Canis lupus familiaris: one gene and its partner. The protein of the gene in region 2 purifies or fractionates together with the protein of the main gene of each other region. This does not show direct contact. Links are inferred from orthologs where the notes say so. Each region holds a gene or a part of one and is shown on either strand. Other genes may lie near its edges.

What was found.
Region 1: the proteins of PPP1R15A (region 2) and EIF2S1 purify together in Homo sapiens (affinity purification with western blotting; 4 studies listed by BioGRID and IntAct, with this or other methods). This does not show direct contact. The link is inferred for Canis lupus familiaris from reciprocal best matches to the Homo sapiens genes PPP1R15A and EIF2S1.

What each region holds. Positions count from the first base shown.
Region 1 is NC_049229.1:41,627,000-41,641,726, forward strand, and holds the start of EIF2S1 (eukaryotic translation initiation factor 2 subunit 1), read left to right. Parts: upstream 1-5,932; 5' UTR 5,933-6,429; intron 6,430-6,654; exon of another isoform or gene 6,655-6,674; intron 6,675-10,596; 5' UTR 10,597-10,597; coding exon 10,598-10,838; intron 10,839-13,126; coding exon 13,127-13,206; intron 13,207-14,727. Other genes in the region: ATP6V1D (V-type proton ATPase subunit D), read right to left, coding at 1,165-1,282, 5,615-5,655. UniProt on the Homo sapiens protein: Member of the eIF2 complex that functions in the early steps of protein synthesis by forming a ternary complex with GTP and initiator tRNA. This complex binds to a 40S ribosomal subunit, followed by mRNA binding to form a 43S pre-initiation complex (43S PIC).
Region 2 is NC_049222.1:108,157,857-108,172,573, forward strand, and holds PPP1R15A (protein phosphatase 1 regulatory subunit 15A), read right to left. Parts: upstream 6,512-14,717; 5' UTR 6,221-6,511; intron 5,586-6,220; 5' UTR 5,577-5,585; coding exon 3,609-5,576; intron 3,199-3,608; coding exon 2,851-3,198; 3' UTR 2,762-2,850; downstream 1-2,761. Other genes in the region: TULP2 (tubby-related protein 2), read left to right, coding at 1-92, 179-277, 524-695, 970-1,103; PLEKHA4 (pleckstrin homology domain-containing family A member 4), read left to right, coding at 8,956-9,039, 10,178-10,285, 11,677-11,749, 11,865-11,965, 12,123-12,232, 12,782-12,997, 13,366-13,645, 14,664-14,717. UniProt on the Homo sapiens protein: Recruits the serine/threonine-protein phosphatase PPP1CA to prevents excessive phosphorylation of the translation initiation factor eIF-2A/EIF2S1, thereby reversing the shut-off of protein synthesis initiated by stress-inducible kinases and facilitating recovery of cells from stress.

The DNA of each region.
Region 1 (14,727 bases), on a different chromosome or scaffold from region 2:
TATTTCTGTATTCACCTATCATTTACTTAAAAAGTACTGAGTTGAGGGCAGCCCGGTGGCGCAGCGGTTTGGTGCCACCTGCAGCCCAGGGTGTGATCCTGGAGACCCGGGATTGAGTCCCACATGAGGCTCCTTGCATGGAGCCTGCTTCTGCCTGTGTCTCTGCCTCTCTCTCTCTCTCTCTCTGTGTCTCTCATGAATAAATAAATAAAAAATCTTAAAAAAAAAAAAAAAGTACTGAGTTGAAACATACTATGTGCCAACACTGTTCTGGGAACAGGAACTAAGTGCTGAAAGGATTAAGTCCCTGCTCTCATGGAACTAACACTCTCTAGTGGAGGCAACCAATCAAACAAGAAAACATGCAGTAGTATGTGCTATGACAAAACTAAGGAAATGTGGGAAGCCTGGGTGGCACAACTGGTTAAGTGTCTGACTACTGGACTACTGGTTTCACCTAGGGTCATGAGACTGAACCCTGCATCCAGCTCTGGGCTGAGTGCAATCTGCTTAAGACTCTCTCTGCCTCTGACCCCACCCCCACCCCCGCGCATGCTCCTGCTCTTTCTCGCTCATTCACAAATAAATAAATCAAAAGAAAAAGAAAAAGAAGGAAGGAAGGAAGGAAGGAAGGAAGGAAGGAAGGAAGGAAGGAAGGAAGGAAGGAAGGAAGAAAGAAAGAAAGAAAGAAAGAAAGAAAGAAAGAAAGAAAGAAAGAAAGAAAGAAGACAAAAAAAAAAGAAAGATATGTGACAGAAGTAAATACAGTGGTCACTTCAGGTTGGGCGATCAGGAATGGCCTCTCTGAAGAGACCAGAATGACAAGAGGAGCAAGTCAAAAGAAGTCCTGGAAAAGAACATTTCAGGCAGGAGAAATAACTAATGAAAAGGTTCGGAAAGAAAATGGTAGGGAGAACGCTCCAAATGAGATCAGAGTGGCAGGCAGGGGCCAGATCGGATCAAGTAGGGCTTTGCAGGCAAGGGTAATGAGTCCATATTTTATTAAATGATCTGAAGCTTGTTAGTCATAATAGTATTTTTACTTTTGGAGGAAAAAATTTTAATTAAAATAACTTAAAGAAAAATTAAAATGCCAAAAGCCATGCTGGATTTTCCTTAGGTATCTTTAAAATAAGCAACTGTTGTAAACACAGTTTATTCTACCTCTATTATCTTCTTTAGGATCTGTCGAAATCGAAGAGTTAAGGCATCAGATTTTTTCTTCAGGAGGTTTCGACCCGTTTGCGCTCCTTTTAATCGAGCCTTCATGATGGTCTGTGCCCTATACAAAGTTAAAAATATTTATTCCCACTGTTTAGAAAACATAAAAATACTTCCCCAATAAAGTATTAAAGTTATGCTTTACTTTTTGATGTCATGAAAATAAGAATATATAGCATTTGTGCTGACAAAATTAGTTTCTCACTGCAAATTTCCATCTTCAGTGCTCCATAAATAAGAAGTTCATTTACTTAAAACAGAAATAATTCTTTAATCAATATCTGGAAAAACATTAAATCATAATACAATTTCTTAGGGGTCCTATTTTATACCACCATAGCTAAAATATTTGATTTGCAAGTTCAAATTATATCTGTATTTCCTTTTTTTTTTTTATATCTGTATTTCCATTACAGCTGTATTAAGCATTTTTTTTAAATCTGTCCACTAATATCAAAAATTGAAATGCTCTTACCTTCGGGACTAACAATTCCACTATGCGAAATTTATCCTACAGATCTACTCTCGTATGTACACAAAAATATATACAATGTTAAGAATGAGTACTCCACCCTTGTAATTGCAAAAAGGTGGCAACAAGCTAAATGTTCCATAAATCATGGTTCATCATACAATGAAATAATATGCAGTCATAAAAAAAAGAGAAAGCTAAAAGAACAATATAATCTATATTATATTCTCTTATGCAAAGAAAGGGATGAATATGCTTATACAAATACGAAGAACAGTTCTAGAAAAGATTCACAGAAACTGGTAACAGCTGCCTTTAAGAAATGGGATTGAGTGAAAATATGTTATTTACTTTTTACTATATTTATTATCTTTTGAACCTTTTGTATTAGATACCACAACCATTAATTACTTTTTCTATTAAAAGTATGGCATTTAAAGTGTTTTCATCTCACCAGTCAATATCCTATCACCAATAATTTTATTACTTTGTAAATGACTCTAGGAACCAATGACACATATTTGAGTAGTGACAAACTACAGAAATCTCCTTACCTCCTTATTCCAAACTTTTCCCATCAGAAACCCCAATACCAAAGTCAAGAAAGTAACAGCAGAAATTGACATTTCTGTTCTTACTACCATATGCCAGATAAAACATAGTAATAAAAAAAAGTAGGTAAGATGATTTAACGATCAATTGTATAATGTAGATACTTAAGGTATTTGTATAAGGGGATATAATTTCATATGACTGGTACCATAATCTATCGCAAAACAGCATGTATTAATGTATTAATGGACCTTTGGGTAAATTCCTAGATTTTATTAATGGACCTTTGGGTAAATTCCTAGATTTTACTGAAATCTTTTTCCATAGGGAAAAGGTTACACAGACAATTCTATAGCTGAAAGAAGCTTCAAATATTATCTTGAAAATGAGGCTTAGAAAAATGAAACACTTTCTTCCGTCACAGGGGGGACGGGATGGGGACAATGATGATGACTAGACTGAAACAGATTTCCGACTCCAGTTTCTTGCCCAAGACTCAAACTAAAGCTCAAACCCAGGCCCACTGTATCCCAACCACATGCCACACTGCCTATTTATAAATAGCATCAGATGAACAGTTCCCTCTTTGAAAACTACTGTCAGTAGCTGAATTTGCACTGACTGGCCTCACTGGAGGTCTAAGTGAAGCCGGTTCAGCTTCTAGCCTGAGCTGGAACTATCCAGCCCAATGTGTACATTTAACATATTATGTTGTTGACACTAATGACCAGAATTTGGGCTCAAAGAGTTGGAGGATCAAATTTAAGTCAAATCCTAGCTGCAGATTCAATACAGTAAAAAAGGTAAGCCAATTGATAAAATTAATCATGCTAATTTTAATTTACTCCTAGCTAATGGCACCTCTGTGAAATAGACAAATTTTATTTCTTGAGTCTTGAAGAGTGATTTGCCCAAGAGTTTACAGCTAGTATGTTGTAGAATCTGGATCTGAGGGACCTCTGTTGACTGCAAATCCTTCATGCCTCTTTCGCTTTCACTCTAACCTTGTTTTGCTCTTTCTGGTGCCTAAGTGGGAGACAGCCCCACTTCACAGGGTAACACTGTATGGTGGAACTGTCTGACACAGAGGTCACTATAGTATTTTCTATCCTAGCTCTTTAAAAAAAACAGAGCTGCTCAGCTCTAGGAAAAATGTTCGACCTTCAGCTAGAATGATGACTTTGTTTTCAGCTGAATCAAAGACATCTGACTGCATGACAAAATACCTGCTGTTAAGTCTTGAGGAAAATATTTAGAGAAGCAGTAACTTCCTGCACCTTATTTTCCTCTCAATCACCAAGCTGAGTGCTCTCAAGTAGCAATTTTCACTTTTATAAACCTATTAGTCTTCTTGTCTGAACCCAAAGAAGGCCATTTTCACTTCTTAGACTCAAAGTACAAACAAAAATATGTTAACATTCTGAGTACCATCAAAAATAAACACAGCCAGACATTAAAGTGGTGAAAAGAAATTTTGTTTAGTAATCACTGAAAGTAGGAGAAAGAGGTGAACTACATTCTGACTTGTACAGAAGTGGTTAGGCATTTTAAAGGAAGAATAAGGGAAAGGAGCTAGAGTGGACTCAAGAAGAGTCACAGAAGTGAAAAATTACAAAGGGTTGATCACTGAAAATGACACTTGGCTAGTTGTGCCTGCTAGCTGGTAGTCATGGAAGTTAGGATTCTATCTTCCCATGAGACTGGGAGACAGAAGCCTCATCCTTCCCAATGACTACATTTCAAAGAAATGGCTTTCAGATCGTTGAGAACGACACTTCTGAGTTGTAGGAGAGACATACATATCTCAAATGGAAAAGAAAAGACTTCTAATTATAAGCTATTTTTAATAAATGCCTTAAGAAAGGGAGGTCAAGGGCTATCCTAGGTATTGGACAGGACAAACAAAAAAAATTCTCCTGGTAGCACTGGGCTTTCTCAGGCAGGCATTTTAATGGTTGCTTGAGTCATTCTAAGAACAGAGCCTTAGGCCATGCTAGTTTGGTGGTGTCTCAGGGAAGACTTTTAGTCAGTCAAGTACTGGGAGTTCTGCAGATCTTACCATCCCAGGGTAGCCTTGGTCCTTATCTATTTTACAGGCACTACTTTTCTCCACAACTGACTTGCTTCCTACCTAGTACAAACACCTATTAGAAAACCAGTAGGTGAAAGTAAAAAATAAGCAAACAAAATCCAAGAACTCTTTCATTTCATTAACAGCTAGAGCTACCCTGGCAGAAACAAATCTAAGTCTGGGATTTGAATGTAACTCTTTTACTTTAAGCATTCCCAGATTCTCTGAGAAAAAAAAAAAAAATCAAGATGAAGAAAAAAAAACCCAGAACACTCCCAAAGAAATAGGACCACAATCAAAAGATCTAAATATCAAAGCCTAACTGATTTTCTACTTCTCACTGAAGAAGAAGAAAAAAAAAAAGTAGTAGAAGAGAAGGCAAATAATAATCTTTACTTTCTACGCATTGTTAGGCACATCTGAGAAAACTGCAAAACTGTCTTTAAAAACTGGCCACCTGGGGCTCTAATGCTTTTTCTCCCGCGAAAGAATTCAGGCCCAAGAGAAGGGCAGGCCACAAGTGAGCAGATCCCAAGAAGACATGGGTTCATCCAAAGAAATTTTTTTGTAGATTTTCTATGGGTTAATTATCAAGACGCTCTCTCCTCCTGGAGACAGCTCACAATCAGGGGGAAAGGTGTGTAAACAAATATTCACTTTATATAATCTGATGGGTGGTATAACAGAGGTCTGAACGAGGTGCAATGGTGATGGAGCAAACGGAATGCCTCAGAAACTCAGGGATATCTTCCCACTGCAGGTGACATTTCGTGGGATCTGGGAAAATGAGGAAAAGGATCCAAGATTGAATCTGATGTCCACGCTAGGGCAATTCGACTCAACCCCCAATTTGGCCTGGACGCCTCTCTTATGTGCTTCTCACCATTGTAAACTTCCCTTCTCAGAGTATTTATCAAACCTCGCTGGCTGGTCCATCTCTCCGTTAAACTGCGAACTCCCTTAGGCAAAACTGGCGACGATTCATAGTTCTATAAATCCACTGCCCAGCTACATAAGGGAATATGGGATGAATGGCTTCATTACTAAGTCAGCGCACCTCCATAAAAACAAGCAGGCCGGGCAGCCTGTCCCTACGGATTGGAATCGCTCTGTTCCGTATGGTTTCCTCAGAGGGACTTGTGAGGGGGCCGTAAGGGTGCATCGCCCCAAACTCACGAAATTCAGGATCCGCCCAGCAAACAAGGAACCTCGCTGCCGGTCCGGGGTATGCAGGGATCGCAGCTCGGGACAGGCGTTCGTGAACCTACGGATGCTGCTCGACCCGTTCTTTTACTTACATGCGCGAGGGAAAGATTTCAATTCGGTCTTTGCCCGACATTCTGACGGTGATAGTTCGGCTCGGATCCCTAGCCGGGCAATCGTGGCTGCAACAGCCCCAGCCACAGGGTCTTCCTCCACGGGAGTCAGCTGATTGTGTCACCTGACCTCTTCGCGTTGCTAAGTGGCAGCTGGGATACGTATATACGCATCCTTCACTTCCGCTTCCTGTTGGCACGTGGGGAGGGCGGGGAGCGGGGGGGAAGGACAAGAATGAGGCGATGCCCGGATGTTGAGGCCTCGCTCGCACCCCGCACTGAACTTCCCCTCACTTCCGGTTCTCCCCCAAGCCCCGCCCCTTCAACTCCCAGGAGGCTGCGCAGGACTCTGCACGCGCGAGGTGAAAGAACAGGAGAGGAGAGTACACGCCTTCTCTTCCTCCCCTTTTCATCTTGGTCACAGCGCCACCTCATGGTTGCCTGAAGCTTCGAGCGAGGGTTAATTCTTCAAGGACAAGGGATCAGTCCTACTCCTCCTGCGCCTTGAAAGTTACTTAGTGAAAACGACAGAGTTCGACAAAGCGTACTTTTCAGGTCCTCCTATGATCTTCATCCTTCCTTTTTTTTTTTCCGGAGGACCTAGACTCTATGGTCAGTGAGGAAGAGGGACCTCTATGCTGTGGGCGCTTGCGTGATGCGAGGCGGTTCCGCATGCGCGGTGGGGTAGAGCCGAGCGCACGCTGAGGATCGGCCGCTGCTGCGGGTGGACTGTCCGATCTCTGCGATTAAAGAGCACGGCGCGGGATCCCGGCGCAGGATTCACACACATACCTCAGGTGACTGGTTCCCCAGATCAGATTCTTTAAGAACTCGCTTTGGTTGTGTGCAGTGACGGGTGTGCGGGGGAGGGTAGGCCCCGGGCTCACACCCCTCCCTTTCCCGTTCCTGCGCGGGAAGTGTCCGACCCCCCCCCGCCGGCGCCGGCTGGGTCCGCGGTGTTCAGGGTGTCCGTGCACCAGCCGAGGAGTCTGGTGAAGCCAAGTGAGCCAGGAGACGCTGCAGCCTCTGCGATATGCTCAAAGTGAGGCTGCTTGGAGAGGGGGGCGGCTTCGGGGAAACGCTGTGACACCCCCGCCCCGGGACGCTCAGCGCTTTGCTCGGGGCCTCAGAATACCACCGCTCGCCTTTTTTTTTTTTTCTTTTTTTCCCCTTCTCCGCCCAAGCAACTACTGCTTCTCAGTGGAAACCAGACCAGGCGCTTGAAGGGCCATTTGGGGTGGGCCGCAGTGTTGGTGAGATCTGGGTTAAAAGGATCCAAGAATAGTTTATCTGTCCGATAATTGATTTTTTTTTTTAAATTGATGCTTACTACCGTGTCGCTTGACTTGTGCATTTTTATAGAACGAGTCATCCCTTGCATCGAAACTAAAACATACCGTTGAAGAGTTTACTATTCTTAGTGTCAATTTGCCGTATCTCAGCACCAATGAGAAAAGACAAGCTGTGGCCCCAACGGTTAAGCATAACTAAAAAGATAAGGGAATTTGGGGGTTAAATACGTATTCAGCCTGAGGCCTTTTTTATTACTCGTCGAACTTAGGCTGTTTCATTAAACAAGAAACATTGTTTTCTTGGAGCAAAGCTGTAACAAGGCAGTGTTGGTTTTTCTCCCAGTTGAAGTTATCAAGGAAAAAAATTTGTGATTCTGTGTCTTTTCAGCAGTTCGTGAATTATATAGAGCTTTACTGCCTCTTCTGAGTTGGTCTGATGCCAAGTGACAGTTAATTATTCTCCTAAGATCTCAAGAAGAGTGATATTTGTAGATGGGTGCTTTCTATTTCAACTACGGTGAAACAGTTTGAGAGCCTATTTGCGTAGCACTGCTCTACTAAAAACTAGCATGCAGAGAACGTTCCCCAGAAACATTTGAGCCAAGTGGGAATTCTCACGAGTTACCTCTATCACATAACACACTTAACTTTGTAAAGTGATGGGGACTCCCCGGATCTGTTGGGGTTACTTGACCATGCACTGGTTTAAGAAAGAAGTCCAACCTACCCTTTGACCAGGCAAAATTACTGACAATGCAGGGTATTTGAAATTAGCTTGGAGTTCAGTTAATATATTATTGAAATATAGATATTTTGTGTGGAAGAACACATACTGTATTTTAGTACTCTCACATACGGACGCCTTCTGGGTTAAAGGTATTCTGCAATTAATATCAGAAGACTTGGTTTTAGTTCCTGTTCTGGTACTTACTAAGTATTTATCCTTGAGAAAGTCATTTAATATTTCTGTTCCTTGGTTCCCTTTTAATTGATTGCTTCACTTACTCCTTTCAGAGTACTTTATATTGCTTGTATTTGCTTACTAGTTTGTTTCCCGCTCTATACTTTCTTAAGTAAGACTCTTTAAGTGTCAGTAGTGCTTAGTACATAAATACTGCAAAAATAATTGTTTAACCAATGAAGCTACAAAATGGCAATGATACCCACTTTGCTTTTTAATGTCATATGTGTATAGCACATTACACTTTTCAAATTTTTTCCATATTTCTTAATCTCATTTGTTACTCTCCAAAGAGAGGAGAGGTCTGAGAGGTCCATGACACAGACTAGAAATTACAGTTTAATGGGAATGCGTTTCCCGAGCAACTACAGCTAGTAAGTAGGAGAGCAAGGCTTGGAATCCATGTCTAGAGTGTTTTGTAATTCTTAGCTACTTTCTATGTCAAATAACATACCATCACTTGTGTTCTTTTTGTACGCTATGTATTGTAAAGAGATTGGTACCTCTTAAAGCAGTAACATTCATATCTCTCATCAGGATTCCTTTACAAAAGTGCCTGTGTTCTTTAATCATCAAATTAAGTCTTACTTCCCCAAAATTAATCAGCTTTACTGTTTGAATAAACCTGGTAAGTAAATGTGGTTAGTTAGTCCCTGTTAAATCTTTTAAAACTGTTAAACACATTTCTGTGACATCATTTACTTTGATATTCAGTTTAAAACTTTTAGCTCTCGAACTTTAGTGCTTTACATACAGATATTTGACAACAGTTCTCCAAAAGAGAGAGGGGGGAAAAAAGCCCTGTTTAAGAATGAAACAACCAGCTCAGCTGTTTCTTGGTGGGTAATTCTGGCCATTGAAATGTCTACTGCCCTTTATTTGCTAAATCCCTATTTTGTCAAGGTATAAAAGAAATGCATTTCTGCTGCTATTATTAAATTTTGCTTTATTTTTATTAAACAGGATAGATTAGTATTAAAAGCTTGCATTGTGGTGCCTAGGTTGCTCAACGGTTGGGCTTCTGCCTTTGGCTCAGTGTGTGATCCTAGGGTCCCAGGATAGAGTCCTGCATCGGGCTCCCTGCATGGGGCCTGCTTCTCCCTCTGCTTGTGTCTCTGCCCCCCCCCCCCCTTCTCATGAATAAATAAATAAAATCTTTTTAAAAGGAAATAAAAGCTTGCATTAATCTTGCTAAAGTACATATTTTAGCACTGAGTATGTATATTAATGTTACCTTTTTTAAAAGCTGTTTGTAACTTATATATTTATCAAAACAGTGAAAATACAGCCTGATGCATAATAGCACAGACTATGGATCCAAACTTCATAGGTTCATATTCTATCACTTGTTCACAGTATATAACAGAACTAGTTACTTAATCTGTGTTTCCATTTCTTCAACTGTAAAATGGAGAGAACATGGGAGAGAGGCAGTGGCCAGATCATAGAGGATCCTGTAGGTAGTGTAAAGATGTAAAAGTCAGTGGGAGGCCACTGTGAAGATACGTGTGGGTGCAGTTGGCATCTCAAACTGTACTGCCCCAGAAGTCTGGTGTTCTATGATCTGGATGTTTTGTCTTTAAGATCAAGTAATGGCAGCCTTATTTTCCAATTATAGGGAAAAAATTGGCATGCCTGGGTGGCTTAGTTAAGCGTCTGGCTCTTGATTTTTGGCCAAGATCAGGATCGTAAGATCAAGCCCCACGTCAGGCTTACGCTGGACGTGGAGCCTATTTAAGATTCTCTCTCCCTTGCCCTCTGCCCTACTTGCTCTCTATCTTTCTCTAAAAAAAATAAAAGAAGTAAACAAATTCTCACATACTTTTCTTAGGCTTTTAGGTCCTATCACTGCCTATTTTGTGAACTTTGAGAATAGTAAATTGGTTAAGATTAGTAGAAAAACATGAAAATCATCAGCTATGATTAGTTTTATAGTCCTCTTTTAAAAATACACCTCTGTGCATGGTATAATTTAAGTCTTGTAGGTCATAAAAGGAGTGGTGCTGAAAGTAGGTTGGATAGATCAAAGGAAATAGAGTTTAAGAGACACTTGAACTTTATAGTAATGGAGTTCTGTAAAGCTATTCTCAAGAGTAGTTATACGAGAGTAGGTATACTTGTTCAATAAAAGAATTTAGTTGTGTTTAGTTATATTTAATATTTTGTGATTAGTAAATTTTTAGGTTGTATCTTAACACATACTGTAATTTTGGCTAAAATGATAGGGTATATTATTTGATATATGATTAGGACCATGGTTTTAGTAGTTGGAAGAGTCTTCCCTTTATATATTGGTGGTAGTATACAACGACTTAGCTGACTTGGAGAACGAGTAGCTTTAGTTTGGCTGATAGGTTTATAGTAGTAGTGATGCTTCCCATCATTTGTTATTTCTTAAAGTGATGATATTAAAATAGTAATTTACTCTTGAGATATACCTTTAATCCTTAGGTCTCAAAGTACTTTATAGGTGGTCATTATTTTTTATGATTCCTCTAAAACTGATGGCAGAGAATCACTCAAGCCTTAAAAAATGTGGAGCAAAGTAAAAATTAAAGTTTGATTCCTGAACATCCGTTTTCTGGTCCATTTAAGAAGTTTAAAGAGGTGAAAAGACAAATAGTTCTTCCAGTGGCAAGATATGGAAAATTGACATTTCTTTATTTTGATGTTAACTGAACACTCACTTGATTCTTTTGTTTAAAATGCAGAATGCCGGGTCTAAGTTGTAGATTTTATCAACACAAATTTCCTGAAGTGGAAGATGTAGTGATGGTGAATGTAAGGTCCATTGCTGAAATGGGGGCTTATGTCAGCTTGCTGGAATACAACAATATTGAAGGCATGATTCTTCTTAGTGAGTTGTCCAGAAGGCGTATCCGTTCTATAAACAAACTCATCAGAATTGGCAGGAATGAATGTGTGGTTGTCATTAGAGTGGACAAAGAAAAAGGTAAGTGATAAAAATATGCAAAATATAAATTTCAGATTTAACATGATTTATTTTAATTTTTTTGTAAATTGCTGATGCTGTAAAAACCAAAAAAAAATCTTTTATACTTAAATTTTTTTACATACAAAGTTGTTAGAGAAAGATGCCAATTACCCATCTAAGCAAGACCTCTTAAGTTAGTGGTGGTTTAATTAGCACGTTCCTGTGGCTAATGTTTGTGAGTCAAATAACTTGACTTTTATTCCCAGAGGTTACCAGGATATTGATAGTTGACTCATTGTGGCTAAACTCAGAAGGGACAGATCCATAAATCAGAGTTTTCATATATTTGTAAGATTCCTTTTTATTGAGATGCCTGGGTGGCTCAGTGGGGTAAGCATCTGACCCTTGATCTCAGCTCAGGTCTTGGTCTTAAGGTTGTGAATTCAATTGAAGCTAAATTTGTAATCAGATTATTGGAGGAACATGGAAATAGAGTAAAGGTAAATGGATTTTAAGAATATCTTATATAAATTCTGGAAAAGGAATATACCACAAACACCCAAAACACAGTATTCTGTATATCTTTGATTATTAGTGGGTGTTCTATGAATATTCATTCATAATGTCCAAAATTGCTAAACAGTTGAGGAAATGGGAAAGTATTACCCAAACAAGAGAAAAAGCAAATGGAGACTGACCTAGAGGTGACAATATTGGAGTTAGCAGATAAGGATTTTAGAACAGATGTTATAACTGCTCAAGGATTTTAGGAAAATAAACTTGTAATGAATGAACAAAATGAAATCTCAGTAGAGAAATTAGAAACTCAAAAAAATAAATAAATAAATAAATTAAAAAAAAGAGAAATTAGAAACTCTCAGAACTAAATATAAATTTTAAAATTTAAAGTATAATCTCTAAAAAACTCACCAAATGGGCTAAGAGCAGGGTAAAGATGGCAGAAGGCCCAAGTCAGACTTGCACATAGTTCGTTTAAAGAACCAATCTGAAGAACAAAGCAGAGGAAAAACAACCTGTCAAATATTAAAAGCTGTATTCCAAAGGAAGAGAAAGGGCAGAAAACATATTTGAGGAAATCCTGACCAGAGTTCCCAGGATTTGCCGAAAAAAAACAGATTTATAAACAAGAAGCTTATTAACAAACTTCAAGCAGGATAAATACTAGTAAGACCACATCTAGGCACATTACACTATTGGAAAACAGATCGAGAAAATCTTGAAAGTAATCAAAGGAAAATGATTCATGATTTACAGGGAAACAGTAATACAAATTAGTATGGTACTCTTACTGAAAATAATGGCTGACTGACACTGAGCATTGAATGACATCTTTAAAGCACTAAAAGAGAAAAATTGTCAGCCCAGGATTCTAGGATATTTAAAATATTCAATGATGAAAATCCAAAATGACTTTTTCAGGTGAATAGAAACTAAGAGGATTTATTACTTGATTTCTGTTAGAGGAAATGGTTAAAGGATGTTATGCGAGCCCATGAGGTGTGATACCTGACATGGGAAATATATAGGTTAAATGTATAAAAGACCATTTTTCCCTCTTAAATTCTTTAAAATACATGTAAGTGCTTGTCTCATTTTGTACTCATGGGATTTTAATTTATGGAAGTGACTGACAACATAGTAAGGCCATGGCAATGAATGCAATGGCCTCACCATGCCCACACAGGGCCACCATGAGGAGGAAGCACCAGTTTCGGTCAGGAGGCAGAAGGAGCATCAAGAATACAGGAAAAAAAAAAAAGAATACAGAAAATGGGGCAGCCGGAGTGGCTCAGTGGTTTAGCGCCTCCTTTGGCCCTGGGTGTGATCCTGGAGACCCAGGATCGAGTCCCACGTCAGGCTCCCTGCATGGAGCCTGCTTCTCCCTCTGCCTGTGTCTCTGCCTCTCTCTGTGTCTCTCATGAATAAATAAGTAAAATATTAAAAAAAAAAAAAAAAAAAGAATACAGAAAATATAACACAATTGAGCCTTTGATGAATGGATACCAAAAAGACAAGTATAGAATCTTTTGACTAGCTTTCATTTGAGTAATTGAGAGCCCTAGTTCCCTTCACTGAAGTGTTAAAGAATCTACAATTACATAATACAAGTGAGTTTCTGAAAACAAAAATCTCTCATCTTATACAGTGTTTAATTGATATGATTTTAGTGAGGAATAAGTCTAAGTATGCCACCAAACAATCTGGTGTAAAAATTTATCGCAGTGGTAAGCTAGTAGTACCTGGGCAGAGATGATATTTTTTTTTCCCAAAAATTTCTCATACAGGATATATTGATTTGTCAAAAAGAAGGGTTTCTCCAGAGGAAGCAATCAAATGTGAAGATAAATTCACCAAATCCAAAACTGTAAGTATGAGTTTTGAGTGAGATTAGTCTACCATTTAGTAATTTAATGAATAATCAGCATGTGCTATTCTTGGCATAAAATTTAAAAGAAAATCTGGATTTTCTATAACTGTATTTCCATTTACAATTATGAGTTACATAGAAGAGTAATTTGAGAACTTAATTTCAAAAGTTATGAGTTCAGTATTTTTGCCTCATGGTGGTACTACCTTAAGGCATTGCTTATCACCTAATATTCTAAAATGATTAACTGGACATTAGTGTTTTTTAAGTTATTTTAGGTTAAATTAACTATGGGTGATTTCACTTGATTCGACTTCTTGTAGTACGTAGTTCTTGACTTTATACCCCATTCTGGGATAACAGAGGCAACCAGCCATTGTATGTTAAGAATAAGCAAGGGTTTGTAAAATGTGAATACAGGAAAGCAAAGCAGAGGCCTATTATTAGTCTCCACCTCCTTCCTCCCCCAGTTTGTTAGGGTTCTTTCTGTTTCATTTTCTTATTTTTGCTGTAATCTTTTACTTACGTACAGTAGGTATTAATGAAGCAAGAACACCTGCTTCTTCATTCTTCCATTTTCCATCTATAGTTTTTTCTTTGGTCCTATTTAGATTATCCTTCATTCTCTAGGTCCTTGGTTTTTAATGGCAATGTTTCCATTGTTTCTGTTTTTTGTCTTTTGTTCTCATGTATGTTTCTGTCCTCAAGATAAAATGCCAAGAAAACAGTGTTTAAATGAAGAGATTTTTGAAATTTTGCTTAATTAACCCCAGTAAATAAGAGAATAAAAATCTAAAAGCAAAAAGACCATTACCCAAATCTTTCCCTTTGTTTTACTAGTGTGTTTACTACTATATATATATAGTAGTGTGTGTGTGTGTGTGTGTGTGTGTATATCTCTGGTAAACTGGTGTGTTTACTACTATATATATATATGTATATATATATATATATGAACATTTTATATATATATATATAAAACATTAGAAAACACTATCAGTGAAATCCCTTCTTAGTGAACTGAGGACCTTGCCACTCAACATAGTCTCTGGACCAATAGCATTGGCACCACTTGACTGCTTAATACAGGATCTCAAGTCCTACCAAGTTTGAGAAGCTCCACTCTAGGAAACTCACTTTGTTTTGTCCCCTTAGGATAATTGTAAAATGAGTATATTAGATCTTATCTGGATGATAATATGGTAGAATGAAATAGCCAATGTTAGTACCTTACCTTACTCAACTTTTACATGTAATGTGAAAACCTGGGTGGCTCAGCGGTTTGGCACTTGCCTTTGGCCCAGGGGGTGATCCTGGAGACCCAGGATTGAGTCCTGCGTCGAGCTCCCTGTGGCTCCCTGCGTGAAGCCTGCTTCTCCCTCTGCCTGTGTCTCTGCTTGCCTCTCTCTCTCTCTCTCTGTTTCTCATGAATACATAAAATCTTTAAAAATAAATAAATAAAAATAAAATCTCAATCCTGATTGCATGCTGTCATATAGAGTAGTAGTAGTGATAGTT
Region 2 (14,717 bases):
TCACCATCTTTGACAATGGGGTGAATCCTGAAAGGAAGAATTTCGTCCCGGAGACCGCTCGCATCAGAGAGGAGCTGGGGGCTGTGTGTTATGTGAGTGTCTGGGAGACAAGAGCGAATGAAGCAGGAGGGTAGGGAGGGAGAAAAGAGCCAGGCTAACTGCAGCATACTACCCCCAGGAGCCCAACATCTTGGGATTCCGAGGACCACGGAAAATGAATGTGATCATTCCAGAAATCGATGCCCAGAACCAGAGAATCAGTGTCCAGCCACAAAACGTGAGTTGGCTAAAGTTGGGTTGAGACTCTGGGTCAGGGCCGGGAGGAAGGTCTGGGGGATCTGCTCTAGGTCCTAAGGGCGAAGAGGGCCTACGGCTTGCAGGTAGTCATATGTGAAGCCAGAAGGGCTTTGTCAGACTTTTATGTTTGTCAAAGAGGAGAGATTAGGGACTCAAAATTCTGAGTCCGGAGGAAAAAAAAAGTTCATTGGTGGCAGTTAACCATGCCCCCTACTTTATCTTCTAGGGGCTGGAGTCACTACTGAGTCGCTTCCAACGGGGGGCCACCCAGAGGCTCATCCTGCTGCAAAACAAAACCCCCTTGTGGAGCCAGGAGAACGGCACCTACGTACTCAATTTTCACGGTCGAGTCACTCAGGCCTCGGTCAAGAACTTCCAGATCGTGTATCCGGATGACCGTGAGCTCCTAGGAATCAGTTTATACACTTGGGCAAAGGGTAATGAGAGGACGAGAACTACTTCTCCCAGCAGCCCTTGAGCATTTTTCTAGGCAGGGCCGATTCCACGCAGTTGCAAAGCCTGCTGGGAGCTGTAGTTTAAATGGCCCTCAGGGTTTCTGGACGTAGTGGGAGCTCAGCACAGCCTCGGAGAAGTAAGAGTTCTCTGAGTTCAGAGGACGTTGGAAGGGAGTTGAGAGGTGGGGCTAGGCTTAGTTCCTGACTTCCTCCTCAGTGGACTACCTCGTGCTCCAGTTCGGCCGCGTGGCCCCGGACACGTTCACCATGGACTTCCGCTTCCCGCTTTGCCCACTCCAAGCCTTTGCCATCTGCTTGTCCAGTTTCGATGGAAAGCTGGCCTGTGCGTAATCCAATGAAATGTTGTACCCTTACCAGCTGATGTGCCTGCTCATTTGGAGAAAGGGCCCCCGCGTGCCTTCGTTTGCACCACGGTTATGGTTTGTCATAACCAACACAACACAACCAACACATCATACACTGCCTGGGGGCCCAGTCCTCCCTCTGCTCCAGGGAGTGGGTGGGCTTCTTGGCAGCACCCGCTTTTGCCAAACTCAGAGTCATGGAAGATGGATGGGTCTTAAACAATCAAAAAAAAGAAAAAAAAAAAAGTCAAAATGCTCCTCTGCTGCAAAAGAGAAAAGCACGCTGGAGCACAGGTCAGCTGGGTCAGATTAAGGTGTCTCTAAAAAAGTGATTTTCATGCCACATCTGAAAAATCATAAGGAACTAGAGCCAGAGGGATCAGCACATCAGGCAGTAGGCAGAGCTCATACGAAGGTCTTATGGTGAAAAGGGGCTTGATGGGTTTGGGAAAATGAAAGGATAGTGTGGCAGGAGCTTGGGGAGCCAATAGAGCAGGGCAGGGTCAGAGGCAGGCCAGGGGGCAGGATATTTGCACCACTCTTCTTCGAACTACTGGACAGATCTTAGGAGGTCAGAAAAGACTTCTAAGTTGAAGTTGTAAACTTGGATGGGTAATTTAAGATGTGCATGGGTGAGAGTGAAAATAATTACCATACTAGCACACTTACATAACATTGGTTATTTGGTGAGGATTGTTTTATTTTTATTTATTTTTATAAGGATTGTTTTAAATATAAACTTGGGATACCTGGCTGGCTCAGTGGGTGAACAGTGGGATCTTGATCTCGAGGTTGTGAGTTCAACCCCCATGTTGGATGTAGGAATTAAAAATAAAATCTTAAAAAAAAATTAAAAAATGCAAATAAATCTGAGCTCTTTTGGGGCCTTAGAGTCCTGTAAGGCATGTGCTATTTTTAGCCACATTTTATGGGTAAGAAAACAGCTTATGGAACGGTTTACAAAGGTGAAATTGGACAGCCGAAAGCCTTGAGCAAATCACCATATATTTATGTACTTTTAAAAGATTTTATTTATTCATGAGAGACACAGAAGGAGAGGCAGGCTCCTTGCAGGGAGCCTGATGCAGGACTCAATCCCAGGACCCCAGGATTGCAAATCACCATTTAAAGGCCAGTAGGGGGACACCTGGGTGGCTCAGTGGAGCATCTGCCTTCAGCTCAAGGTGTGATCCCGTGGTCCCAGATAAGAGTCCCACATTGGGCTCCCTGAATGGAGCCTGCTTCTCTCTCTGCCTTTCTCTGCCTCTCTCTGTGTCTCCATGAATAAATTAATAAAAATCTAAAAAAAAAAAAAAAAAAAAAAAAAAGGCCAGTAGGAAGATAAGTTGATTCCAGGGAGGTCCAGAAAGCTGGAATTGATCCTTTTTTTAGAGATCAGTGAGCCCAGCTCCAGGCCCCCTAGGAGAGATAACTCCCAAGTTTAATAAAATTTAGGCCGATGCCAAAGAAAAGTGACAAAACCCACCAGCCCTTAGTTCAAAAGCGGCTTCAGGACAAGAAGAGGCAAATTTGAGGATGATGGGAAATAGAAAGTTTGTCCTGTATTGAGGTACTCACCTTTATCCCACGGGTGGTGGATAATTGTTGGTTCAGATACAGACAGTAACATACACACAGGGGACATTGCTTGCTACAAATCAGAAGGTTTTATTTCTTGTATGAAACCACACACACAAAATAAATAGTTCATATAAATAGGAAACTACATGATCTTAGCCACGCCTCCCACTGAGGTCCAGGCCAGGGGATAGGGACACAGGAATGGAGGGAGATGCCCCAACATGGCTCAAGGGTGTGGTCTGGATGGAGGAGACTGGTAAAGTCTGGGCAGGAGCAGGTGTGGTGGCCAGAGGAGGGGTAGGGTTCCCGCAGCGTGCCCAGGCCCTGGCCCGGGCAGCAGGGGTGAGACAGGGGCCCAGCTGCTCCTGGGCCTGGGCGATCCGCCGGGCGAAGCGACTACGATCTCGGGCGAGCTGCTCCCAGGGTCCGCGGCGGGCTGCCTGAGCCGGTCCTGCCCAGACAGCCAGGAGATGGACAGAGACTTTCTCGGAGAAACGGACCTGGAGACGGACCAGCACAGACACAAGACACACGTGTCCACAGGGGGGGCAGGGGGGAGAGAGAGAGCCAAAACAAAAATTAGTTGCACAAAAATGCTTGTTATCTTAGTCACCTGCTAGTCGCTCACCCACGGGATTCTCCATGTGACTCACTGCAGGTGGAGGCTGTTTCCTGGTGCTGACATGAACCACAACAGCTTCCCTCTTCCCACAGGGCCTCTTCCCATGGGGCCCCAGCCTCTTGCAAAGGATTGCATTACAGTGAACACAACCCTCCCAACAGGGTTTGCATGCAATCCCCTGCAACACACAGGGGGTCCAGAAATTGGGGCACTCAGGCCTTCTGCCCCCAGGCCTAGGACTTCCAGCTCTTCCCCTAAGACTTGAGAATTTGAGCCCTCAGTACCCACCTTTCTGGCCGTTAGGGGAGTCTCAGGGTCTGGATGCCGGGTGGGGGTTTCTGGGGGCTTGAGTCGCCTCTGCAGTCTGAGGGGCAGCCGAGGAGGAGCCCAGGGAGGTGGTGGCTTTTCTCCAGGTAAATAGATGGCCACTCGGAAGGGGCAGGGCTCAGCTTCTCCCCCTCTCTCTGTGTCCTCTCCAGGCTGGTATGTCCAGCCCCTGAGGAGGGTGCTCTGAGCCTGAAGTGAGGGACTTGGCTCTGAGTTAACTGCTTCTGAATCATCATCTTCCTCTGTGTCCTCTCCTGGCCTATACACCCAGGCCCTCACGAGGGCACTTGTGGATGGGATGGAGGAGGGATCATATGCTTCTCCCTCCTCTTCAGCTGCTCCTGAGTCACCGTCATCTTCTTCCTCTGAGTCCTCTCCTGGACAATACACCCAGGCCCTCACGAGGGCACTTGTGGATGGGATGGAGGAGGGACCCTCAGCTTCTCCCTCCTCTTCAGCTGCTCCTGAATCACTGTCCTCATCTTCTTCCTCTGAGTCCTCTCCTGGACGATACACCCAGGCCCTCACGAGGGCACTTGTGGATGGGATGGAAGAGGGACCCTCAACTTCTCCCTCCTCTTCAGCTGCTCCTGAATCACTGTCCTCATCTTCTTCCTCTGAGTCCTCTCCTGGACGATACACCCAGGCCCTCACGAGGGCACTTGTGGATGGGATGGAGGAGGGACCCTCAGCTTCTCCCTCCTCTTCAGCTGCTCCTGAATCACTGTCCTCATCTTCTTCCTCTGAGTCCTCTCCTGGCCGATACACCCAGGCCCTCACAAGGGCACTTGTTGATGGGATGGAGGAGGGACCCTCAGGTTCTCCCTCCTCTTCAGCTGCTCCTGAATCACTGTCCTCACCTTCTTCCTCGGAGTCCTCTCCTGGCCGATACACCCAGGCCCTCATGAGGGCACTTGTGGATGGGATGGAGGAAGGACCCTCAGGTTCTCTCTCCTCTTCAGCTGCTCCTGAATCACTGTCCTCATCTTCTTCCTCTGACTCCTCTCCTGGCCGATACACCCAGGCCCTCATGAGGGCACTTGTGGATGGGATGGAAGAGAGAACCTCAGCTTCTCCTTCCTCCTCAGCTGCTCCTGAATCACTGAATTCATCCTCCTCCTCCTCCCATTCCTCTCCTGAGCAACACTCCCAGGCCCCGGGGCAAAAGCCTGAAAATGAGGAGGAAATGGAGCTTTTTGTGGCTTCTTTATCCTCTGTTCTTTCTTCCTCTATGGCTTTATCTTCTTCCTCCCTGGGACAGTACACCCGAGTTTTGGGCTTGGATCTTGGAGATAAAGGGAAAATCGGTGTTCTGGAAGCTTCTTTGTTTATAGCTTCTCCTTCCTCCTTTTCCTCCCCTGGACAACACTCCCAGTGTGATGGAGGAAAAGAGAAGAACATGACCACTTTGTCTTCTGCAGCTCCTCCTTCCTCAGATTTCTCCTCAGAAGGGTCCTGTGGGGTTCTTATCAGAAGGCTGGGGGACAGGGGAGCAGGCTGGCCATCTAGGAATTCACTTTCCTGCTCTTTAGGGACACTGGTTGCTGCTTGTTCCCCACCATATTCTTCATCTTCATTATCTGAAAGTCCCCCTGCTTTAAGAGAAGAGCTGTTGGCTTTTAGATTATGGCGGGCCCCCCAAAATGCTTCTCCATTCTCATCACTTGCTCCACTGTCTCCAATCTCTTCTTCAAAGTGCCTGCCCCAGAGGGGATGGTGGGGGACTAGAAAAGTCTTAGCTTCTCTCTCCAGGCCAGGTTTTCCCCGATCCGTTTTGGTTACTGCTTCCCACGGCCAGGGTTCTGGAGATCCTGGGCCTCTCAGGTGGCTCCAGGCCCTGCTGAGAAGGCCCATCAGCGGGGACAGGAGGAAAAAGGGGTAGGTATCCCTCCAGGGGGCAGACTGATGGGGCACTTGGCCTGGGGCCATCTGTCTGTGCTGGAAATAAACAAAGGAAATAGTTTAGAAGCCATTTAGGGAAGAGTATCAAGCGAGGACTGAGTCATAGCAACCATAAACAGTAACACAAATAGCAACAAGAGAGTCCCTGCCCCACATTCTTGCTGATTTCTGCCACTTCCATCTCTAGCAGAGGCACAGCTTTCCCACCTCTCTTCTCTCAATACCCAGGAGTCAGAGGTTCCAGCCTCTTCTCTCAGACCCAGCAGTCCCAGACCCCAGAATTGAGAACACAGGTCCTCGACTTGCTTCCCTTGGGGACAAGGTCCTAGTCCCTGGTTCTGTCATTTTCTTGAGGATCGACAAATCAGGCCCTCATCACCCTCCCCCCTCTGAGACTCAAGAACTGCGGCTCCCCCTGCCCAGTTCCATCCCTTCCACCAGGGATCCAGGAGTTTGGCTTCCAGAACCCTCCTCTCGCCAGGCTCAGGCCTCCAGGCTCCCAATTTCTTCTCCTGCGTAGGTCTGGGCCCTCGAATCTGTCCTGGTCCCATCTCTCCCCAAATACAGGAGTTCCGGTTCCCAGGCCCTCCTTCCTCAGGATCCTGGGGTCCCGGCCTCAAATTCTCCTGTCTCGGTACCCAGAAATGGGTAATCCCTTCTTCCTTACTGACCAGGAGTCTGATCCCCAGCTCCCCAACTGCTCGGGGCCCAGGCGTTCGGACCCCTCGCTCACCGATGGGGGGCTACGCGTCAACCTGGGGGCAGGAGCGCCGGCTCGGGTTGCCACCAGCGATCGCAGCTCAGGACGGCTCGGGAGGCCAGCGCGTTCATCTCGCCCTCCGGTGTCGGGCTCGGGGACTCCGGGTACCACCGGCTGCTGCAAGCGCTGTCGCGGCGAAGGGATGCGGCGTCCTGAACCTGAGCGTGTAAGTTGCACAGCAGAGCTTGGAACTGACGCAGCCTCCAAAGGCCTTTATAGCCCAGCGCAACCTCACGTGCTGACGTCACGGGGGCGGGGTTTTGAAACCAAAACCACCCGGCTCGGGATTGGAATTCTCGCGGAGATTCCAGGGGTTTTATGACGACACAACGACGTTTCCGAGCGCGACCACGCCCGAAACGGGCGAGCTGTCAATCAAATGCGTGCGGGGCTTCGGGAGCCGCGGGTTTTCTCCCAATTCCCGTTCCGGTGCGAAAACGCCTTCCCAAAACCCCAGTGTAATCAGCAGGCCTCAGACCAGAGTCCCCCCTTCACAACGGTCCCGCTTCCTTCCTGGTTGGGGAGATGGTTGATTCCATTTCACAGATGAGAAACTGAGGCTCCGGAATGAAGTCCCTTGGCGGAAGTGGTCACAGCAATCCACATTGATTGCAGATGAGAACAAGAATGCAAGCACGCTGAAGGCAGGCACTTGGCTTTGCTCACTGCTTTTTTCTTTCTTTCTTTCTTTTTCTTTTTTTTTTTTTTTAAAGATTTTATTTATTCATGAGAGAAACACAGAGAGAGGCAGAGGCACAGCCAGAGGGAGAAGCAGGCTCCATGCCGAAAGCCTGATGCGGGACTCGATCCCGATCCCGGGACTCCAGGATCAGGAGGCGCTAAACCACTGAGCCACCCAGGGATCCCCATAATCATTGTTTTTTTTTTTTTTTCCCCCCTCGGTGCTGGACACATAGTAGGTGCTCGACATATGTGGGTGAGTGGATTCGAAACCAAAACCTCAAAAGACTCCTTAACTGGTCTCAAGCCCGAGGCTCCGCACCTGGATTTCATCCACTTCAAACTCACAAGAGCTCATACACAAACCGAAATTCTGGCCAAAGTGCATCCACTGAACCTCATGGGAGTGGGGTCTCCAGCCACAAGTTTCAGACTCTGGGACACAGTCCCAATTCCCTGCCCCATCCCTCCTACCTGGTCCCTAATTTTGCTCCTTGAAATATCCTCAGTGTAGAACACAGTGCTCACCTGGATCTGAGATAGATGTTTGGCCATGGCCCCTTGACCCTGCCCTAGCCATGATCCAGGAATCCGGGGTCACTCCCTCCTCTGGAAAACCTGGACCTGTCCACCCAGAAACACCTTTCCAGATGCCGGACTCCGTTAACAACTCAGGAGTTCTAACTCCAGGCTCACACCTTTACACCTTTTCGTGTATCCAGAAGTGTGAGCCCCCTCTATTCCAGGATCTCAGCTACCTCCTTTTAGGGTACAGTGACCTGGGCCCTGGAGTCCAGGCCCAGCTCCTCCTCTCCAAACAGTTAGGAATCCCAGCCCAGCAGGGACCCAGGAGTCAGGGGAGCCCCAGCCCCTCCCCTCAGCTGTGGGGCACCGGAGCCAGGGGTCAGGCTTGGAAGGGGTGGGGGGAGGCCAGGAGGGGCGGGGTCAACCGGGATTGGAAGGGGAGACCGCAGCGTGGGCGGCTGGCAGACCAGCAGGGAGGAAAGAGAAACGGAGAGGGGAGGAAGACAGAAGGGGAATCTGAGAGAGAGGAGGAAACAGCGTCGGTGGGGACAGAGATAGAGAGAAGGAGGAAGAGCTAGAGGGTGGGGGTGGGGGGGGGAGAACGAAATGGAGACCTGAGGAAGAGACTCTGTGTCAGCCCGAACGAAAAAGATCTGGAACAGAAACAGAAAAGACTGGAAGGGAAAGTGCTGAGGTGGGGGGCGGGGAAGAGAATGAGTGAGAGAGAGAGACTGGAGGAGACAGATTGAGAACCGGAGAGACCAGGTGAGGCCAGAGACAGAGACACTCGGAAAGAAAGGGAAGAGTGATCAGAAGAGGCAAGAGACAAAAAAAAAAAAAAAAAAAAAAAGGCAAAAAAGCCTGTGAGTGAGCAGGTGAGAAGGGAGACAGGTCTGAGAGGTAGCCCCCTCCGCCCCCCCAGAAAAGGAGGGACACTGCAGCTGGGAGCCCCAGCACCCACACTGTCCTCTCGCTCCGTCTTTGGGACCCCAGAGCTGGTAAGTTCCCTGGCTGGCCTGGGAGGGAGTGCCTGGGCGTGCATTCCAGGCGTCCCAGGGCTTGGCAGGAATGGCTTGGGGGTGTGTGTGGGAGGGCAGGAGACAGGTAGCTGGGGGCTGCTGGGAAGAGCCAGAGAATAGGGGCTCCCTGAGCACAGAGAGGGTCAAATTCCTGGCGAGAGTGCAAGGGGGCAAGAATAAAGGAGCCCCTATTCTCTGTCTTGGGCTGCCGGCAGCTGCCAGTGCCGCCCACCTCTGTTGGCATGGCTCTCGGTATGCAGTCCCGGGCCAGGGCCTCCCCCAGCCCCCCAGTCCCCAGACAACGGGCTCTTTCTCCTCGGCCTCCTCCGACCTGCGAGCCCCTGACCCCGGCTCTGTCCCCAGCTGGGTCAGCTGCAGAGACAAGGCACACAGCCCCTTTCTTTCTCTCCCCAAGCCCTGGATGGAGGAGGGCAGACCCCGGAGCAGCCTCAGCCTGGCCAGCAGCGCCTCCACCATCTCCTCTCTGGGCAGCCTGAGCACCAAGGTTGGAGCTTCTTGGAGGGGCTGGGGAGGAGGGCTGAGCTCTGGGCTGCCCCATCCTCCTGTTTCCCAGCCCAGGGTTCCGTGCCAACCCAAGGGATTCCCCGTTGCTAAGAGCAAGGATCCATAGCAGTGGGCTCTGCTACACCTAGTAAGGTCCCAAATTGCCCATCAGGCCCAGCTAGGAATTCAGAGGCACTCCCAGCTGTCCCCACCCCTCGTATTTTCCTAATTTAACCAGAGTAACGATCCTGCTGGACTCTGGTTGCTAAGATAGGGCTACTCCCCAGCCATGAGGCTCCCTCCAGGAACTCAGGCAGTGGCTGCCCTTGACTGGGACCGAGAACTCCCTATCCTACCTCTAGCCATCCTACCCAGTTCTGAAATCCTATAAGGAAAGACGTTTCTCTGACAATGAGGCCCCAAGAGGCCTGAGACACTTGTGTCACAAATAGTCACCCCAGGCCAAAGTCTAATGACAACACTCATTTCTTTGTCGTCTGCCACTCTGTTTACTCATTTCCAGTTTCCCCAGTTCAGAATCTAGAGATTCAGTCCCAACCTTGGTCAGCGGCATCCCCAAGGAATGGCTTCCTATGGGACTCTGGCTGTGTATGCCTGAGATGCCTGCATGGACTGGAGAGGGGGCTCCCCTCTATTGGGAAGGAGGGACTTGGAGCCATCTCTCTGCCCTGGATGTGGTTGCTAAGAGATGTCACTCCCTGGCACTGAGGCATCCTCCCATTCAGCTGACCCATCACCAGGGACTCAGCATGGAAGTCTTTCCTGGTTATGGGGACCTCCCAGGCAGTATTTCCAATTCTGATCCCAAAGACTGCACATCTCTGGCTCTGGTGGCCAACGGCATCCTCTCCTTGGCAGCAGACCCTTGATTCTCCCATCCCTCCCCCATCAGTCAGTAGCTTTTTCTTTTGCCTCAAACACCCCCCGGCCAGTCGCCTATTCAAAGTGTCTGTCAACTGGTACCATGCACTTCCAATTCTGATCTCAAGATTCAATCCCCTCCTTGGCTTGGTTTCTAAGGGCAGCTGAGTGAGGCCTTGGGTTGCCTGCATCCCGTGGCATCGCCTCCCCAGGCCGATCCAAGGCTCTGTTCATCTCTGTCCTCCATCTCTCCTCAGAAGCCTACCCGGGCAGTAAGCAAGGTGCACGCCTTTGGGAAGAGAGGCAATGCGCTCAGAAGGGATCCCAACCTCCCAGTGCACATCCGAGGCTGGCTTCATAAGCAGGTGGAGTGAGCAGGAGAAGGGAAGGGACGCTGAGTGACGCTGGATGCTGGGTCCCTGGCTGTCCATTGTTTCTCTTCTTCCCAGCCTCCAAATTTGTTTTGTTTTGTTTTGTTTTCTAATGGTGCTTCTCCCCTTTTTATGCCATTGTTCCCCGCACCTGTTCATTCATTCATTTAGTGACCACTTCCTGAATATTTATAACGTGCCTAGCCCAAATAAGACAAATAAGTATCTATAGTCTGTTGGAGATGGGGTGGGGCAGGGATAGATAATACATGAGCATATTTCAGATGGTAGGGATTGCTATGAAGAAATAACACAGATGGGATGCCTGGGTGGCTCAGTGGTTGAGCATCTGCCTTCGGCTTAGGTCGTGAACCCTGGGTCCTGGAATCGAGTCCTGCATCAGGTTCCCTGCAGGGAACCTGCCTCTCCGTCTGCCTATGTCTCTGCCTCTCTGTGTCTCTCATGAATAAATAAATAAAATCTTAAAAAACAAAACAAACCACAGGAGGATACGCACAAAAGTCTCAGTGGGATGAGAGGCACAGTTTGACTCTCCGTCAGGGAAGGCATCTCTAAAATGACATTTGAGCCAAGAACTGACCAGAAGGAGCCTATCATGCTGGGGTCAGAGGGAATCTGAAAGCGAGCTCTAGGAGCGCTCAGACTCCAGAATAATCAGACCAGAAGTCTTAGTATGCAAAGTTCCTGCCTATGTGTTGTATAGTAGCTCATGTCAACCTTCCAGTAACTTCCCAATCCCCTATTAACTCAAGTATCTAGCCAGGAGATGACTAGTCTAATGGCATAGTTTGACAGGGGTGGAGCTAGGAGACCAACTCAGGTCTGACTGTGTCCAGAATCTGTGTGAGCTCAGCCACCACACTCTAGCTTCCAGCTCTCCAGCTCAATCTATTGCATCAGACATGTGTCTGTTCCTCTCCTCTCTCTGGGTTTCTCTGTCTCCAGGTGTCACTGTCTTGTATTGTCTTTCTTTTCTCTTTTCTTTTCTTTTCTTTTCTTTTCTTTTCTTTTCTTTTCTTTTCTTTTCTTTTCTTTCTTTCTTTCTTTCTTTCTTTCTTTCTTTCTTTCTTTCTTTCTTTCTTTCTTTCTTTCTTTCTTTCTTATTTATTTGAGAGAGAGAGAGATAGCCAGAGAGCACAAGTGGGGAGGGGCAGTGGCGGAGAGAGGGAGAAGCAGACTCCCCACTGAGCAGGGAACCCATGTGGGGCTGGATCCCAGGACCCCAGGATCATGACCTGAGCCCAAGATAGACTCTTAACCGACTGAGCCACCCAGGTGCCCCCCTGGGTGTCACCGTCTGCCTTTCCACATTTCCTCTCCGCACTCCCCCTCTACTCAGGCCTCCTCTCTCTCTGTTTCCCCAGGACAGCTCGGGGCTGCGGCTCTGGAAACGCCGCTGGTTCGTCCTCTCCGGCCATTGCCTCTTCTATTACAAGGGTCAGTGCCCTGACTGGGGAGGGATGGACGCCCCCTCCCCCCCCCCCCCGCCCTTTCCCTTAGCCTCCTGGCCTTCAGATCCTGCGCTGTCGCTGACCCCAGCCCTCTTCTGCAGACAGCCGCGAGGAGAGCGTCCTGGGCAGCGTCCTGCTCCCTAGCTACAGTATCAGGCCCGATGGCCCAGGGGCCCCGCGAGGGCGGCGCTTCACCTTCACCGTGAGTCTGTCCATCCCCCGCGGGCACTAAGGCGCTAGGCCGTGGGGGCGGCCGGGGGAGCATTCATTATTGGAGCTAAAAAGGCTTGACCAGGGTCCACGGCATCCTCCTTTTTGGAGGGCCCGGGCGTCCGGTCCCCAGCTCTCTCTCCCCGCAGGCTGAGCACCCAGGCATGAGGACCTATGTTCTGGCCGCCGACACGCTGGAGGACCTGCGGGGCTGGCTGAGGGCGCTGGGCCGGGCTTCTCGCGCGGAGGGGGACGACGGGTGGGTCCAGGTCCTGGCCACGTCCCAGACCTCCACCTCCAATCTGAGCCCATCTAACCATCCCACAGCCCCTCCCCTTTACGCCAATCACACTTCTGGCTAAGGAGACGCCGCCCTTCAGGCCCCACCTCCAGGGACCTTCCTGTCTTCCAATCAGCAAAAAGTCTTTCTCTTCTAGACACCGCCCACCGTTTCGTCAGGCCCCACCCCTTCATCAAAATTCCACACTCTCTGATTGGCTCCCTCAGAAGTCTCCACCCCCGAGGCTGCCACCTAAGGAATGTCAAATATAAGAGGAAAGTCCCGACTTTCCCCAAGTTTCAGGCTGGAGACTCTGGGACTGGATGGACCTTGTAGCCCTGACACTAGTCACTTCCACACGAAGGGCCTCGATTTTCCCATCTGCGAAGTGGGAACAACAATTTACAGTGCACCACCTACCCTTTCTTTTATTCTGTGTAGGTTCCCGTGTGCTAATCCACGAAATGGGAATGAGGGCTGGTTATGAGGTACAAAGGAGTGATGTCTTTTTCTGTGCTCACTCATTAGTGGACGACCCAGGTCACCTGCACGTCCCCAGCCTGGAGAGGGCCCTGGAGGCCCCGGTGGTCCCCCAGAGGTGACCAGAGGGGAAGAAAGACACGGCTTAGAGTCACCAGAGGTGGCTCGGCTCTCCAGAGGTCGTGGAGGACCCGGACTGCTCACTCCCAGCCCCATAGCTGATCTCCAGTCTGGACCTCGGATCCGGAGGACCAGGAGCCCGGAGTGAGTTGAGGGAGTCTGGGTTCAGAAGGTTCTACAGGGCTGAGCGTCAGAGGAAAAGCTATGTTGAGGGCATGCCTAAGAGGTGGGGACTGGGTCTGCTTCGGGATATGGCTTAGTGCTTTCTCCCTTTAGTGGATGTGAGTCGCTAGAGTTCTCATGGGGTCGGAACCCATAGGGGGAATATCCTAAGGAGGAGATGCCACAAAGGGAGAAATTATTATTCAGTATCTGGGTAATAGAGTGGGGTTCTACTGTAGAGGGACAGTGAGACACACTGAAAGGGGATGTGTCCCCATGCGGCTGACTGGGTGGGTAGTGGGGAAGGGGGCTCTAGGTCACCCAGTTCCCCTATTCTCTCCTCCCAACAGCCTGTTCACACCCCTCTCCCGCCCTCCCTCCCCTCTGAGCCTCCCCCGGCCCCGTTCTGCTCCTGTACGCAGACCCCCTCCATCCTCTGGTGACATAGCACCTCTCGCCAGACCCCATACCCCTCTGAGTCGCATCGATGTCCGGCCTCCCCTGGATTGGCCTCTCCAGCGCCAAACACTGTCCAGGCCACCCACCCCCCGGCGAGGACCCTCCTCTGAGGCTGGGGGAGGAAGGCCCCCCAGGAGTCCCCAGCACTGGAGTCAGGAGGCCAGAACACAGGTGAGCAGCGAGGTAATGGTGAAGGGGACTGCATTTCCCATATGGCCATGGTCTGGTCTGCAGGCCATGGTCCCCTGGGCACCATGGGGATTGTGGTTCAACATAATCAGGGCTGGGGGCAGCCCCGGTGGCTCAGCGGTTTAGTGCCTGCCTTTGGCCCAGGGCCTGATCCTGGAGACGGGGGATGGAGTCCCACGTCGGGCTCCCTGCATGGAGCCTGCTTCTCCCTCTGCCTGTGTCTCGGCCTCTCTCTCTCTCTGTGTCTCTCATTCATAAATAAAATTAAAAAAATCTTAAAAAAAAAACCACAACATAATCAGGGCTGGGTTCAGATGGGAGGGCAAGTGGACTTCATCTCCCATCAGCCCTCAGGGCTGTCTTTTCAGCCCAGTCTCTGACCATTACACCTTAAGTATTATGGGAGTTGTAGTCCAGAATACTGTCATTCCAAGACCATCCTGGGAGACGTGGTGTGATTGCATCCGTTTTGTGTCTCCAGTTTATCTTTCCAAGATGGTTACCTGCTATTTCCTCTGAGCATCATGGAACTGTAGCCCAGAATATCCACAGTTAACCACAAATGTGAGAGTAGACTGCAACTTTCATCAGCCTCTGGGGCAATTTTGCCAGGCTTGTCCATTTATTATCATCCTATGTGTTCCCACAGTGGTACATAGCTGGAGAACAAGTAGTTGAAGTTCAGAGACCCAGTTTTTTTTTTTTTTTTAAGGTTTTATTTATTTATTCATGAGAGACGCACAGAGAGAGGTAGAGACACAGGCAGAGGGAGAAGCAGGCTTCACACAAGGGAGCCCGATGTGGGACTCGATCCCGGGGCCCCAGGATCATGCCCCAAGCCGAAGGCAGGTGCTAAACTGCTGAGCCACCCAGGGATCAGAGACCCAGTTTTGAACTTCAAAGAGTCTCTTAAGTTATATCAATTCTGGACACACCCACTCTAATATATATTACTAAAACAAGTAAATTTCTCAACATTTCTATTTAATATTCCTCCCAGGTCCCCTCTGGCTCCTCCACGTATCTCCAGCTACCCCCGAGAGCTCCTGGGACA